Caenorhabditis elegans: one gene and its partner. The protein of the gene in region 1 interacts with the protein of each later gene in a biochemical or structural test. Each region holds a gene or a part of one and is shown on either strand. Other genes may lie near its edges. The genes, in order: lim-9 and cpna-1.

What was found.
Region 2: the proteins of lim-9 (region 1) and cpna-1 interact in far-western blotting, tested with the Caenorhabditis elegans proteins (one study listed by BioGRID).

Annotation. Positions count from the first base shown.
Region 1 is NC_003279.8:9,216,682-9,223,391, reverse strand, and holds the start of lim-9 (Protein espinas), read left to right. Parts: upstream 1-2,663; coding exon 2,664-2,734; intron 2,735-4,343; coding exon 4,344-4,467; intron 4,468-4,680; coding exon 4,681-4,896; intron 4,897-6,710. Other genes in the region: aspm-1 (Calponin-homology (CH) domain-containing protein), read left to right, coding at 312-682, 731-804, 949-1,385.
Region 2 is NC_003280.10:4,183,816-4,190,269, forward strand, and holds the start of cpna-1 (Copine family protein 1), read left to right. Parts: upstream 1-2,860; coding exon 2,861-3,115; intron 3,116-3,156; coding exon 3,157-3,308; intron 3,309-3,652; coding exon 3,653-4,333; intron 4,334-4,394; coding exon 4,395-4,583; intron 4,584-5,085; coding exon 5,086-5,151; intron 5,152-5,160; exon of another isoform or gene 5,161-5,220; coding exon of another isoform or gene 5,221-5,547; intron 5,548-5,594; coding exon of another isoform or gene 5,595-5,797; intron 5,798-5,849; coding exon of another isoform or gene 5,850-5,968; intron 5,969-6,090; coding exon of another isoform or gene 6,091-6,285; intron 6,286-6,340; coding exon of another isoform or gene 6,341-6,454. Other genes in the region: mth-2 (GPS domain-containing protein), read right to left, coding at 5,221-5,547, 5,595-5,797, 5,850-5,968, 6,091-6,285, 6,341-6,454. UniProt on the Caenorhabditis elegans protein: Involved in the assembly of dense bodies and M lines during body wall muscle development.

The DNA of each region.
Region 1 (6,710 bases):
TCAAAAAACGAAACATTTTTTGCTTTAAATGAGAGAACAGATCATAATGACCACATATAACTGTAAAAAATTGAACATTTTTCTAAATTTTTTAATGGGTTTTTTAAAAATTTTGTAACAATAAAAGAAGCGACTGATAAGGCCCGCCGAGATATTCGTTTTCCTGGAAAATTTGAATGGATTTTCTTTTCTCATCTGGCGTCTCAAATGGAAGCACAAAAAAATCCGAGAAAAACCAGTAAAATTAGCTGTAAAAACGGATATCTCTAAAAAGTGGTCAGGGCCTGGTTAAAAATGGTTAAAAGTTTCAGGCGAGAAAACTGGGAAACATCGAGAGAAATGCGTTAGCTGTTCGTGATGGCGGGGAGGATTCGTCCGACAGTAGATCAGATGCTGGGCACGATGTTGCTATCCTTCACGGTGACGACAGTCAACTCTTCGAAAATTCAATGCAATTGGATCAGAAATCTCAATTGCAAAATGATGAGACTCAAATTCTTGAGAATAAAAAGAAGGCAGCTGTTGTCATTCAGAAAATGATACGTGGTTTCATTGCACGGCGTAAATTCCAAATGGAAATTAGCAATATTCGCAATCGCATGATCCAATACAATCACATATTGGCGCAAGAAGACGAGCAAATTGGTATAGAAGAAATGGAGGATAAATCAGTCGAGGCAAAGTGAGAACTCTTTTTTTTTTAAATATATTTAAAAAAATTGATTTTCAGGCTAAAGAAATGCGCTCTTCATGGACTCACAAATGATAACCTTCACGTCGTTCATGTTGCTGCAACTGTCATCGGTATGTCGCAAATGAAAATTACGAAGAAGCTGCTTTTTGATCTGAAAGTCATAGAAACCAAAAGTTTATGAATATGCCGCCATGGATGATTTTCTTCGTCAATTGCAAAACCATACAACACATAGAAATGTTCATATTTTGCAGACCGAGTCACCGATCTTGTTCCATCACTTTTGGAAAAGCTTGTCGTCGAACTGAATGGCATCAAGTCGATCACTGATGTTTTGATTGTGGCGGATCGAGGATTCTCTTATACGAGCATTCTTCATCCATTATTGAATGTTCTCGAAAAATTATTCACGAAGATTCCCGAAGAAGTCACCAATTCGCATATTCTCCCTCACTTGAAGATTTTGTCGCCTCGCTTGATGCTACTGATGCTGAAGCACTCGGAAGTCAAGGAATTGTTTATTCCTATCATTAACACCTTGACTTCAATTGCTAGAAGATTCCCAGACAAAAAGCAATCGAGTTTTTCTTCATCAAGCTACTCAATCAAGCAGTCGCTCAAAAAAGTCAAGGATCAGGAGTGTCGGAATAAATTGGTCAGATTGGAAAGCATATGCGAAGATATGCTCTAAATTAGTCTCTGTTAAATATTAAATTCATCCCACCGTTTTGTGTATCATATCGTGAAAAAATACACACGGTTTAATTATTTTTATGTGAATATTTACCAATAAGATCAGTCAACCTGATGCTTATTTGGATTTTTTGGTATTTCATATTTGTTTCTTAAAGTCTGTTGTGAAGTAAAAACTTGATTTTAAATACTACCGTTTTTTTTAGAGTATGATGAATTTAGCTACTTTTAGAAATTCAAGAAGTCTGCTATTTTTCTCTGTTCCCTCTTTAAAATTTTTGAGTTTTGCACTTGTTGCGTAGCAGATGGCTCATCCGATTTGCAAATAGTTACTCGTCTTACTCTCCGTTCGCATTACACAGTAACCCTCCGACCATCTTTTTCTGCTCTTTTTTGTACTTTGTCACGTCATTCGGCTCCTGCTCCGCCTACTCAAAATTTTTATGGTTTTTTTCGAAAGTTTGAGAGAAGTAGTACTCGTTTTTCCGAATTTTTAAAATATTGTTCATTAGTTTTTATTAATTCCAGCTATATGCAGTGCCGGCCAAAAGTTGGTGATTTTTCAACAACAAAAAAAAATCAAAAGTAGCTACTTAAGTAGTAATTTTAAAAAACTTACCAGACAGGATTTTCATTATAACTTTGTCTAGATTTTGCTTTCCTCTGGAAAAAAAGTTGAAGCGGCTGACATCTACAGGAATAGATTTGTATATGTTCTCTTGCAACACATGTTTTTGAATTCTAAAGGCGCGTATGGGTCTCGCCACGTGGGAAACGAGTTTCTGTAACTCATGTCGGTTTACGGGTCACTAAAAGTTGTATCATCATTTTCAAAAATAGAAATTACTGACAAGATTTATTTAGAAAAAATAATTGTGCAATAGCGGCCCGTACATTAATACGAGTTACAGTAACCCGTTGTTCGAATGGCGAGACCATTGCACGTCTACGTAATAACAATTTGGCAGCAATTTAGACAATATTATCAATGTTTTGTCTTTACACAGTTTTTTAATTATTAGTTTTTGAGGTATTGTTTGGTTGAAAAATCACGAGAATAAGTCAAAGACGCATATAATTTGGCCGATATTGTGCTCGCATTTTCCCGATTTTCGTATTCAAGAAAATGGTCAGAAGATCATTTGGAATAGAAGTAGAAAATCTTCAAAATTTTTCTTTTTCTTTTATTTTATTCTATACAAATAGACACTTGAACTAATATAATAAGTACTTAACAGAAGTAGAACTCTTTTCAACTTGGCCCCCTCTCTGTAATATGTCTGACAATGTTGGTCCAAGAGAATTGTCAAATGCATTCAAATATCTTCTTGCCTATCAATTAGATTCGTAAGTTTTTTTTTCACAAAATGGAAAATTGATAGTTATGGATAGATCTCTGAAAAAAAACATCTTAAAATAGTAGATAATACTTTCCACCCAATTTTTTTGAATTCATAAACTTATAAAGGCATATTAGTAGCTTTTGTAAAATGTGTTCGAGAAGTTATTTATTCAATAAAAATGTGTAAAAAACGGTAAACCATTTAGATACCAAAAAAACCAGATCTTGCCATTTTTCTTCTAAAAGACACGACAAAAATTAGGTATTGTCAAGTGTGGGTTACTGTATCTGGATGTTTCTCTCTCTCGGGTATGACCTTTTGTCCAATCATGGAAAGTTCACCAAACTTATTCTGGAGTTATGCATAATTTATTTGTAATATTAAAACTTCAGGAGAGTCATGGTAATAAACTTAAAGTAGAAGAGTTCAAAATTCTCTTCAAAAAAAGTGTTTAGAAACCAGTAAGAACCCTTTCAAACTCTACATTTCTTCCTTCTAAACCCCGCTGTAATCCTTCTGTGATCAATTTTTCAAAATGACTACAAGTGACATAACTGCCAGTTTTAAGGCACACTTTTCTGCAATCTTCCGGAAGAAGATGTTCGAGACTTATTTGTTCTTTCAAATCGACTGGCCAATATCATTTATACAATTTAATGTGGAACGTCGCCTATAAGAAAATTGTTTGAAACCAATTAATTCGTTGCTAAAATGTAAAAAGCTTTGAAAGATATTTTTATTTGCAGTCGAAAAGTGGAAATTTTTTTACCAATAAATTTCCGTCAAAATTTAGCGATTCACCAATACTTTGACAGAAATTTTTGAACGACCTAAAGTTTTTTGAAGCGTTTAATTATTTTTTAAAGTCATGTTGGAGTGTATTTGTAGCACATATCCCGGAGTACTTTTTGGGGTACACAATTTATATTTCTCGATATATAACTATGCAACACAAATAGAGTACCTAATCAATTGAAGATCAATTGATATATATGCCATATTCGGGAAGTGTGTGTGAATCTCTGAGTCTCTCAAATCCAAATGATATTTCTCATTTCATAATATATTTTCTCATTATCTTGTTGTCATTATCCACTATCTTCATAATCCAATCGTCTCTTCCTTCAAAAAGTGAAAATAAACATAAAATTGGCAATTTTCGATATGATCATGAAGTGACCACACCCTGGCTTTCCTTTAATAGTGACACACAATTTGAGAAATTAAATGTTTTTTGAACGAATTTCTCAAATTTCTGTTCTTGTTTTTGAACCCTCGTGATTTTCATTTTATTTATTGATTTTCAATTTCAAAACTAGTCGATTTTTTTATTGCATTGCAAAAATAATTTCTCCAATTAAAAACAAATTACCACTTGCAAATTAAATTATAATTCTGATAGAACATTTTTGGCTTTGAATTAAAAACTAGAAAATATTTTGACACTTTGAAAGTAATATTGCCTATTTCCTTTTTCAATTTCATACCTATTTTGAGAGAGCTTACGATAAGTTTTAGTCGAAAATTGAAAGTTAATTGCAAACAGCAGAAACATGTTTTAATGTTTAGCCATTCACTTTATTGGAAAATGTTTTAAATTATTTAATTTTCAGAATCGCTCAAGACGGAGTAATGCCATCTGCTCATGGAGCTCTTCACAAATTATTGTGCTCGTGTTATTCAAAAAACACCGAAGTGGTTGATATCTATGATATGCCGGAAAATAATAATGCGCAGGTTGGATATTTTCATTCAAAATCACAATACCTGAAACAATGGTTGTTCCATTAAAAGACGTATTGTGTCGGCCATTTCCCTCAAAATCTTGCACGACACATGCTATCCGACTAGACATCATATTGTAGACAACAATTTCAGCTTGTTTAAAAAAAAATTAAAAAAAGTAAAATTTGCTTCGAATTCTTTCTAACTTTTAAATTTTTTAAACAGGAAAAAGAAGATCATTACACAAAAAGAGCAATAGATATCGGAGAAACAAAAAAAAGATTGGAACTTCTTCCACCACCTCCAACATCTTCATCGCCCCGGCCAACATCTTCTAATTCAATTATTCAAAAAAGTGATGGAAAACGAAAAGATCAGAAGAATGAGAAACAAGCATCTCCGATCATCGTGGAAGTTTACGATGACACACCTCAATCAAAGGTACGTATTTATTTCAGTTATTCTCTATGTTATCAGTAATTGCATTTTCTTTTTTATTAAAAAAGAAATCTTTACGTTTTGGCTGGTCTAATAAGCTTCATACTGAATTCAAGCTTCTCCCAAAATTTCTATTCAACTAATTCAAAGTATTGTACTTCCCACTTTAAAAGTACATCTTTTTCTTGCAAACGTTCATTTCCTTATTGCAACATCATTTTCTTTTTCTTGTTCCTTTCTCTGAATCATACTGTCAATTAGTAGTTATCAGTGTCATATCACATGATATCTCAAAAAAGTGTGCCAATTGGAACCCTTTTTTTTTTTGACTTTTCGTTTAATTGATGATACGATTGATCTTTAGTTTGGTGGTTGAACAAATTTTATTTCTTCGATTTTAATTTAGCTAAAAGTAAAGTTTAGTTATCTTGAATGTATACGAAAACATAACGAATGTTAACATGCTAATTCCCAAACTATGTTTTGGAAAATTCAACTTTAAAAAAGCGTGAAAAAAAAAATTCCCACCTTATTCATTATTGACTTCAATAGTAAAAACGTCCGAAAATATTAAGAAAAAATTAAATACTGTGCTCGTATTTCATCAATTTTGGAATTCGAATTTATTTTCTCAGAAATGTGACTCATTGCACGCGACAGAAATACGGTTAAGACAGTAAAACATCTGAAAAGTACTTTTTTTGTTAAAAATATCCGGCTTTTTTGGTGCCATTTTAAGAGTTATATAGATAACGTTTTTTTTTAAACAATATTGGTTTTCACTGAAATTTTCAGAACTAATTAATTTTGTAGTCGAAACATGTTAGGAAAGTTTTGGAAAAAAATTGTTGGAATTGTTCAACAGAAATTTTCAAAAAAGTACATGTTTTCCTGATCATCAACTCTAAGAAAGGTATGTTTATCAAATTAGGAATTTTTTAATTGCAAGAATAAGATTAAAACTTCCGAATCCAAATTTCTAAGAAAATTCTAAGTAACACTTTTTTAATTATTGATACCCGACACCAGTCTCTGTGGTTTGAATAAATATTTTGGCATACTGTAACTTTGAATATGCATTTGTTGATTTTTCCTGTCTATGAAGAAAAAACTCAAACATACAACTAAAGCTTATGGATAAATAAATGAATCTTCAATGTTCAATGTGAACACTTTTACAGAAATGAATAGAAAATGATATCCATGTCATCTGAATCTATTTCTTCAACCCTCACATCTTTACATCTGATCGTGTTCGTACTTAATTTCAAATTCAGATGAATTATATGAAATGACCTTGTCACCTCGTCGTCTTGATGATCATCCCACTTTTTCTCTTTATTCTCACAAGTTTTTCCCATTTTCTCCTATTTTCTCCAGGGTTAGTGATTGATGTTACCTATGCAAAATTGAATGTTTTCGTTTAAAATCATTGAACCCAGTTTGGGCGTTAAAAATGCTAATTTCAAATGTATCTCTGAAACAGTTTCTGAAAGTGAACAGACATAAATTTAAACCGTGAAATCCTATTTTTTGGGAATATGATATCGCCATAATTTTTTATTGAAATTGTGTTAAAACTTCCTAAAACTGATAGTGAGTCTGCCGTGTGTTCGCAGAAGGTGCCACTTTCACATACGTAGCTAAAAACTGAACCGTATTTCAGTTAAAAAAGTCATATTATTATAAAGCTGGATAAGGCTTTTTTCTCGAGTTCAAACTAAACTCACCAATCGGCTAATTCTTCCTTTCAAAATTTGCTAGCAAAATGAGTTGAGTAAATACTGAAAAATCACTCAGTTTAAAAAAAAACAAAC
Region 2 (6,454 bases), on another chromosome or scaffold:
GAAAACGGAGACAACGATAAATTCCGCAAACCGAGGTAGGTAACACAAAAGTATATTAAATTTTTAAAATAAATGTGAACATAAGGCTGCCGGTAGGGCGCGGGAGAGGGCTACTGAAAAGGCGCCTATTTTACGCCTCGGTGCATTGTTTACGAACTTAGAGCATGACGCAATGCTCATTGTCCATCATATCACACCACCAAGCATCCATAGATCAAAATTTTGCCTCATTATTTCGTTTCAATTTCGATCCTCCTCCTCTCTCCTCCACCTCCATCTTCTTCTTCCCGCATCTCTTCTTCACCCCGTTCCCACCATCAGAAACAACTGCTCCATTTCCCTCTCTTTCTCTCGTCCATCCTCCAACATTTTAATACTCTCTATTCATCCCGCCCGGGGGGAGGCTGTACTACAACTTTCTTTCTCTTCCTACCTCTCCTTCTGGGAGAGATGGAGAGAGGAAGAGGATTGATTTCATCGAGCAAGAAGCTTTTGATTTTCGAAATGATTTGTCTCTCTGTCTCCACCTCCCACCCCCAATATTTATTTACTTGTCTAGATCGAGTGCCTAACTTGTTTGATTTTTGAAAAACTTGAAAAAATTTAAAAACCAATAGCTTTATGTTTTCTCTAAAGCGTTCCTCAATTTTTGAATCAGAAATTTGAAATCAAATTATTTTTGCTCAACTTTGGCCTAGTTGTCACTGGTTTTGATTTTAAAAAAATGTTAAGCTGAAAAAGTATAGATTAAAACCACGTGGTGTCAGGGTGTCTTATTTTGGTTTGATTTACGTAGATCTACAAAAAATGCGGGAGTTGAGACGCTGACGTCACATTTTTTAACAAAAAACTCCCGCATTTTTGTAGATCAAACTGTGATGGGACAGTCTGAAACCACGTGTCAAACCTTGAACTATATTTTTATAGTTTAGCTGTTTTTGATAATCTAAAAAGTAATCAAGATATAATCTTTCAAAGTGGATTAATGCCAATTGATTGACGAAAATTTGGAAATTTTTCCTAATTTATTTTTCCAGTTTGAAGAGTTTAAAGCATAACTTCAGATATTTTCTGAAACGGTGAAAATTTACTTTTTTTCCTAGGTTTTGTCCAGATCTCTAGGAAGGTATACAAAATTCTGAAAGCAACATTTTTTTGCTCAAGATTTTTAAAAACTTTCTCTCGAATTTCGTAACTTTTTAATAACTTTTGTTAGAGAAAAATTTTCATTTTTATAAACTATATTTTTAGCTATATTTAAAATAGTGCACGTATTTTTTTCAAATTGAAATATTTTCATTTCCCATATCAATTCGGCTAGATGTGAAAGTATTTTTGAAAAATAGTTTTTTGTTTTGAAATTTCAACTTTAATATGATGAACTTTTTCTGTTAGAAAGTTTTCTGAACTATTTGAAAAATTAAAAAAAACCGTCCCAGAAAATATTTTTTAGTACAAACCAACATTAGTTTTGCTATGTTCTTAAAAGGGCTGTGAATACACCTTGCCCATGTGGTTTCAGGTTTTCCCATTACGCTTTGATCTACAAAAAATGCGGGAATTTTATGCTCAAAAATGTGACGTCAGCAAGTTCTGAACCTTGCGAACTCAGTTGAGATCTCTGCGTCTCAACTCCCGCATTTTTTGTAGATCTACGTAGATCAAACCGAAATGGGACAACCCACGTAATTGCCATCAAAATTTGGCACAATGTTCTCATTGCGAACGGTAGCTTTTAGGTTAGGATAACAATGATTTTTGGGATTTGTAAGATTTCAGGACTTTCGTCTGAAACATTTTCCCAATTTTCCTGCCAAGGGAAACTCCCAAAAGTTTTCTACAATTTTTGCAAATATTCTATTTTTTTCAACTACTGGAACACCGCCGTTCCGCATGTTTTTGGCGCTCAACAAATGTTGTTTTTTTCTTCCCTCAATATTTTCCATTTAATATCTTCCTCATTTTGTGTATCCCTTTCAACTACTACCACTCCACCCAAATCACAGAGAGTTGGTTGACAGCAAAAGAGTTCATGGCTTTTCACTGTTGTTTTGCCTCTTCTCTTCTTCACAAGTTTTGCCATCGCAGAGCCGCCAGCTTTCTGCCTCATCGTCGCGACTTGAGAGCCATTTTTTCCGTGTCCCCCGTCCCGTCCCTCAACTGCATTACATTGTAGAAGGGGACGGAAGCTGGTAACTTGAGCAAGGCTTTTCAAGTATAAAATGCAGAAAAAAATGACAAAAAGAGTTCTTTGTGCTGAAGAAAAGAGCACAAATTTTGAAGGTTTTGAATGATCAAAAGATCTTCGTCTTTTTTTTGGAATTTTGTTGAAAAATTGTTTGAATATTCATAATTTTTGTATTAATTGGCTCCAAGTAGGAAGCTTTAAAATTGGAAAAATTGGAACAAGTTGATTTTCAAAAATTTCGCTATTTTTTCACTGATTATTTTTAGGGCAGACACAAATTGATCTAGAGCTCATGTCCAGAAAAGAGGCATAGGCAGGCAAGTAGGCAGGCAGGCCACAAAAAAGCGTACTAGCCTATTGAAAAAAGCTTTTTCCAAAATTTTGAATCTTTATACCATTTTTTTGAGAAAGTTTCAGAACTTCTCATAACAAAATTCGGAAGTTTTGGGTTTTTGTGTCTAAAAAAGTAACATTTCAGATTTTGGTACTCTTTTAAGATTTTTAAAAAGTCTTCAAAAATTTCCAAATTTCTGAAATTCTCCAGTTTCTTTTTTATCTATTTGATCATCTAACTTCCATCAGCTGCTTCTAAACTATCAAAAATTTGTATTGTTTTAATTTTTGATCACCTTTATCCATTAGCTCAATTTCTCCATTTCCAGGCGAGTCGGTATGGTATTCGACGCGCGTCTCGGGTACGACCCGGACGAGTGGGAGGAATGCCCGGAGCCGGAGCATTTTCTCGTGTTCTCCGGCTTCACCCGCTACATGCTCACGTTTGCCGCCATAGCCTTCGTCTACTACTTCTTCAAACTTCTCGATGACAAGAATAAGAAGGAGTCAGGCGAGAAGGAAGAGCCACAAACTTCGGTAGAAAGCGTCCTGGCCAAGGCCGGTGACAAGCTTCATGATGTGAAAGAACAAGTGGTAGGTGTTGAGAATAGATCTTGAAAAAAAAGGAATTTCAGCAGCAACACATCCCAGAAAGCGCTGAAGAGCTGATGCGTGAAGCCGACCAATATCTGAAAGAACAAGCTCACTCAGTTCAAAATAACGTCCATCAGTTCGCTGAGCAGGCTGCAAATAAGTTCCCGAGCTTGGAGGTGGATTTGAATTTAGGGTAAGTGTGAGAACAAGAATCACATTTTCGGCATTAGGGAGCAGGTATGGAATAGGCAGGCCTGAAGTAGTTAGGTAGGCATGAACTAGGCAGGCAAACATAAGTCAAGCGTAGGCACGTAGTTAGACATGTTGGCAAGCAGGAATATGATAGGCACGTATATTCATTAGAAATGCACGTAGGCAGAGACACCTGGGTCAGGTATAGGCACGTTGCACATAGGGAGGCATGCATGAAAATGGCACGTAGGCAGGCAGGTATGGAGTAGGCATAGCTGCAACGCAGAAGTGTGGAAAGCCCGAAATAGGTATCACATAGGCATGTCAAAAATCTCAGATTTTCAGCCACCCCATCGACGCCACCAGAGAGAAGTTCGACACCGTGCTCTCTTCCGTCAACAATCACCTCCACGAGACAAAGAACATGGACCTGTCTCCAACATCCCGCGATTCCACCCAATTCGAGCAAATTCCATCTATTGCACCGGAAGAATCCGCATTCGGGCACGACTTTGAGCATGTTCCACCTCATCTCAAAACAGCTGCCGAGCAATATTATGCTCAGCAACACCAACCACCTCCGGTACCCCAACACAAAATCGTTCAACCGGTTCCGATATCTCCGACTGACCAGCAGCTGCTTCACGAGTTTGATATCTACGATGCTCCAGCTCATCAGCGGATGAATCAGATCTCCGAGCAACTTGGACAGCTTGGACAGAAGACCCCAGCTCAACTTCAACAGCTTCAACATGCTCAGTTAGCTCATCAGCAACTGCAACAGCAGGGAGTCTTCCAGCCAATCCAGCAACCATCACCACTGCAAATCCAGACACATCCACAGCAACCATACTTTGATTTCTCCCAACTGTCCCCAGCATCTCAAGCCCGTTACAACCAGCAGCAGTTCGTGGACATTTCTCAGCTGTCTCCCGGGGCTGGAGCTCTGATCGCTGAGCAACAAGCTTCAGGAGCATTCCAACCAGTAACAAAGAAGCTGGGAAGGGAGAAGCGGCTCAGTGAGCAGTGAGTTTTTTTTAATCTTAGTTTGGGTTTTCAATTTACAAAGAGCAAATTCAATTTCCAGAGACGAGCGAGCCCTTCAGGACTGGGAAAAGGAGAAGGCCCTTCTCGAAGCTGACCGTCTGAAGAAGCTTTTGGATCATGAAGTTGGAGGTGATTCGACAGACTTGGATTCGTCTCAAAAAGCCTATGATCACTTTGCACCAGCTTCTCACATCTCCTACGAGAGCCATAGTGGAGCAGCACAGATTCAGTAAGTTTTAGGCTATTTTTATGGTTCAAATTTTAGTGAAAGTTCAAAAAATGAGCAAAGCATTTGGAAATTTTTCAAAAAAAAGTGAATGCCTAAAACACAGTTTCGTAGTTAGGTAGGCAGGCAGGTAGGTAGGTAGCCTTGAAGGCGTGCCTGCCTATAAGAGTATTGTTCAAGTTTGCAACAATGTTGGGAACTTTTCCGAGATATTTATACGACCTGTTAGGCATGCTAGGCCTGCTCTGATTTGCCTACCTGCATTGAAGGCTACCTACGCCTACCAAGTGCCTACACATGCGCCTAGTTCCAAATTAGATTTAGATTCTTTTTTTACATTTCGTGGTTAATAAAATTGATAAAATTGTGTTAAAACTACACTGAGCGAGAATGAGCTGAAGGTTGGTATGAAGGCCTAGGTAAGCTGGTAGGTGAGCAGGCAGGCAGGCACGCTCAAATAAGTACCTACTATGCATTTTACCAAGCTAATTTTTCAAATTTTTAGACCAATGACACCAACTGCTCCAAAACGAGCTGACGTCCCTGCACCACAAGTCACTTCGATTACCAAGTACGTTACTTTTTCAGAAAAATATTTTTTATTTATAATAACTTCCTATATACACAAAAAACACTGAGGTCAATATTCATTAAAAGTATCTGTACTTGATCCTAAACTGTTCTCCTCTTCGACCAGCTTCGTTCGTTTTGTCGAGTTCTTCGAGTAGCTCTGTCCTCGAGACTTGAGCGTACTATCAGCTTGCCAAGCTCGATATCGCTTGTAGAGGAAAATGAGCAGTAAAATTGTTCCCTGAGACCCTAAGACTATGGTGAAGGTGTAGTGCCAGAAGGTGGTGTATGGGGAGTAGAGGGTTCCGAATTGAAGGATCCATGGAAGACCTAGTGAGATTTGCATTACAACTATGGATACTATCTTCGTGATCACATTTGGATCGTAGTGGTGACCCTGGAAATTTTATTTCAGACTTATTAGATTTCCTTGCAAGAACTTACCCCTTGACTAAATTTCCTTTTCATTCCACAAAAAACTTTGTAGATCATGAAACTAGTGCATACTACCGTACTCAGTAAAAGTACAGTTACTGGAATGATAATTGCAGCCACTATGTAGTCGGGTCGTACCCAGCAGAAGCAGTCCTGGCGGTCGAAGAATTTTGTGAAGACTAGCAGAAATATTGAAAGAATAAAGGGGAGAGCTGTAATATTTAGGGGGTTGTTTAGAATTTTCGGGCAAAAAAATTATCATACCTACTGACGTGATGAGAACTGGCACTGTTCCAAAACATATGTTAAGCAGCCTGTAGGCTGGAGTTGGCAGGAAAACGAGGATATTTCGAAGAGCTTGGAAAATTGTGAGAAATAGAGAGCTGAAAAGAATATTATTGATTAGAATTGTGAGAATGGTTGTGGCGTAGCCGTGACGCTACCATGACACATAGAACTACCGGTATGACGCTAGAAGGGCCCGAAGCGGGCAATGCCTACTCACCACAAAAGCAAAGCGTACATCACAGCTGCCATCGCTGTGCACATATCACCTGAGACATCTTGATTTGAGAACACTGTGAAGAACACGTAAAAGAGAAGAAGATCAAAATGGTAGATAAGAGCAAGAAAGTCCCGACGAGCCAGATTATGACCCCGGACATAACTGTAGAGTCGGCTGTTGGCGAGAGAGTTTATACTAAAATTTTGGACTTCTCAGCAGCAATTCTCTATAAGAATAAGCCAAAACTTACTAGGCAGAGATACTAAAAAACGTAAGAAAAGCTAGAGAGACAATCGATAGACCGTTCACGACGTAGCCAAGAGTGATGAGGGCATTGTCACAGACATTCGGATCGTTTAGAGCA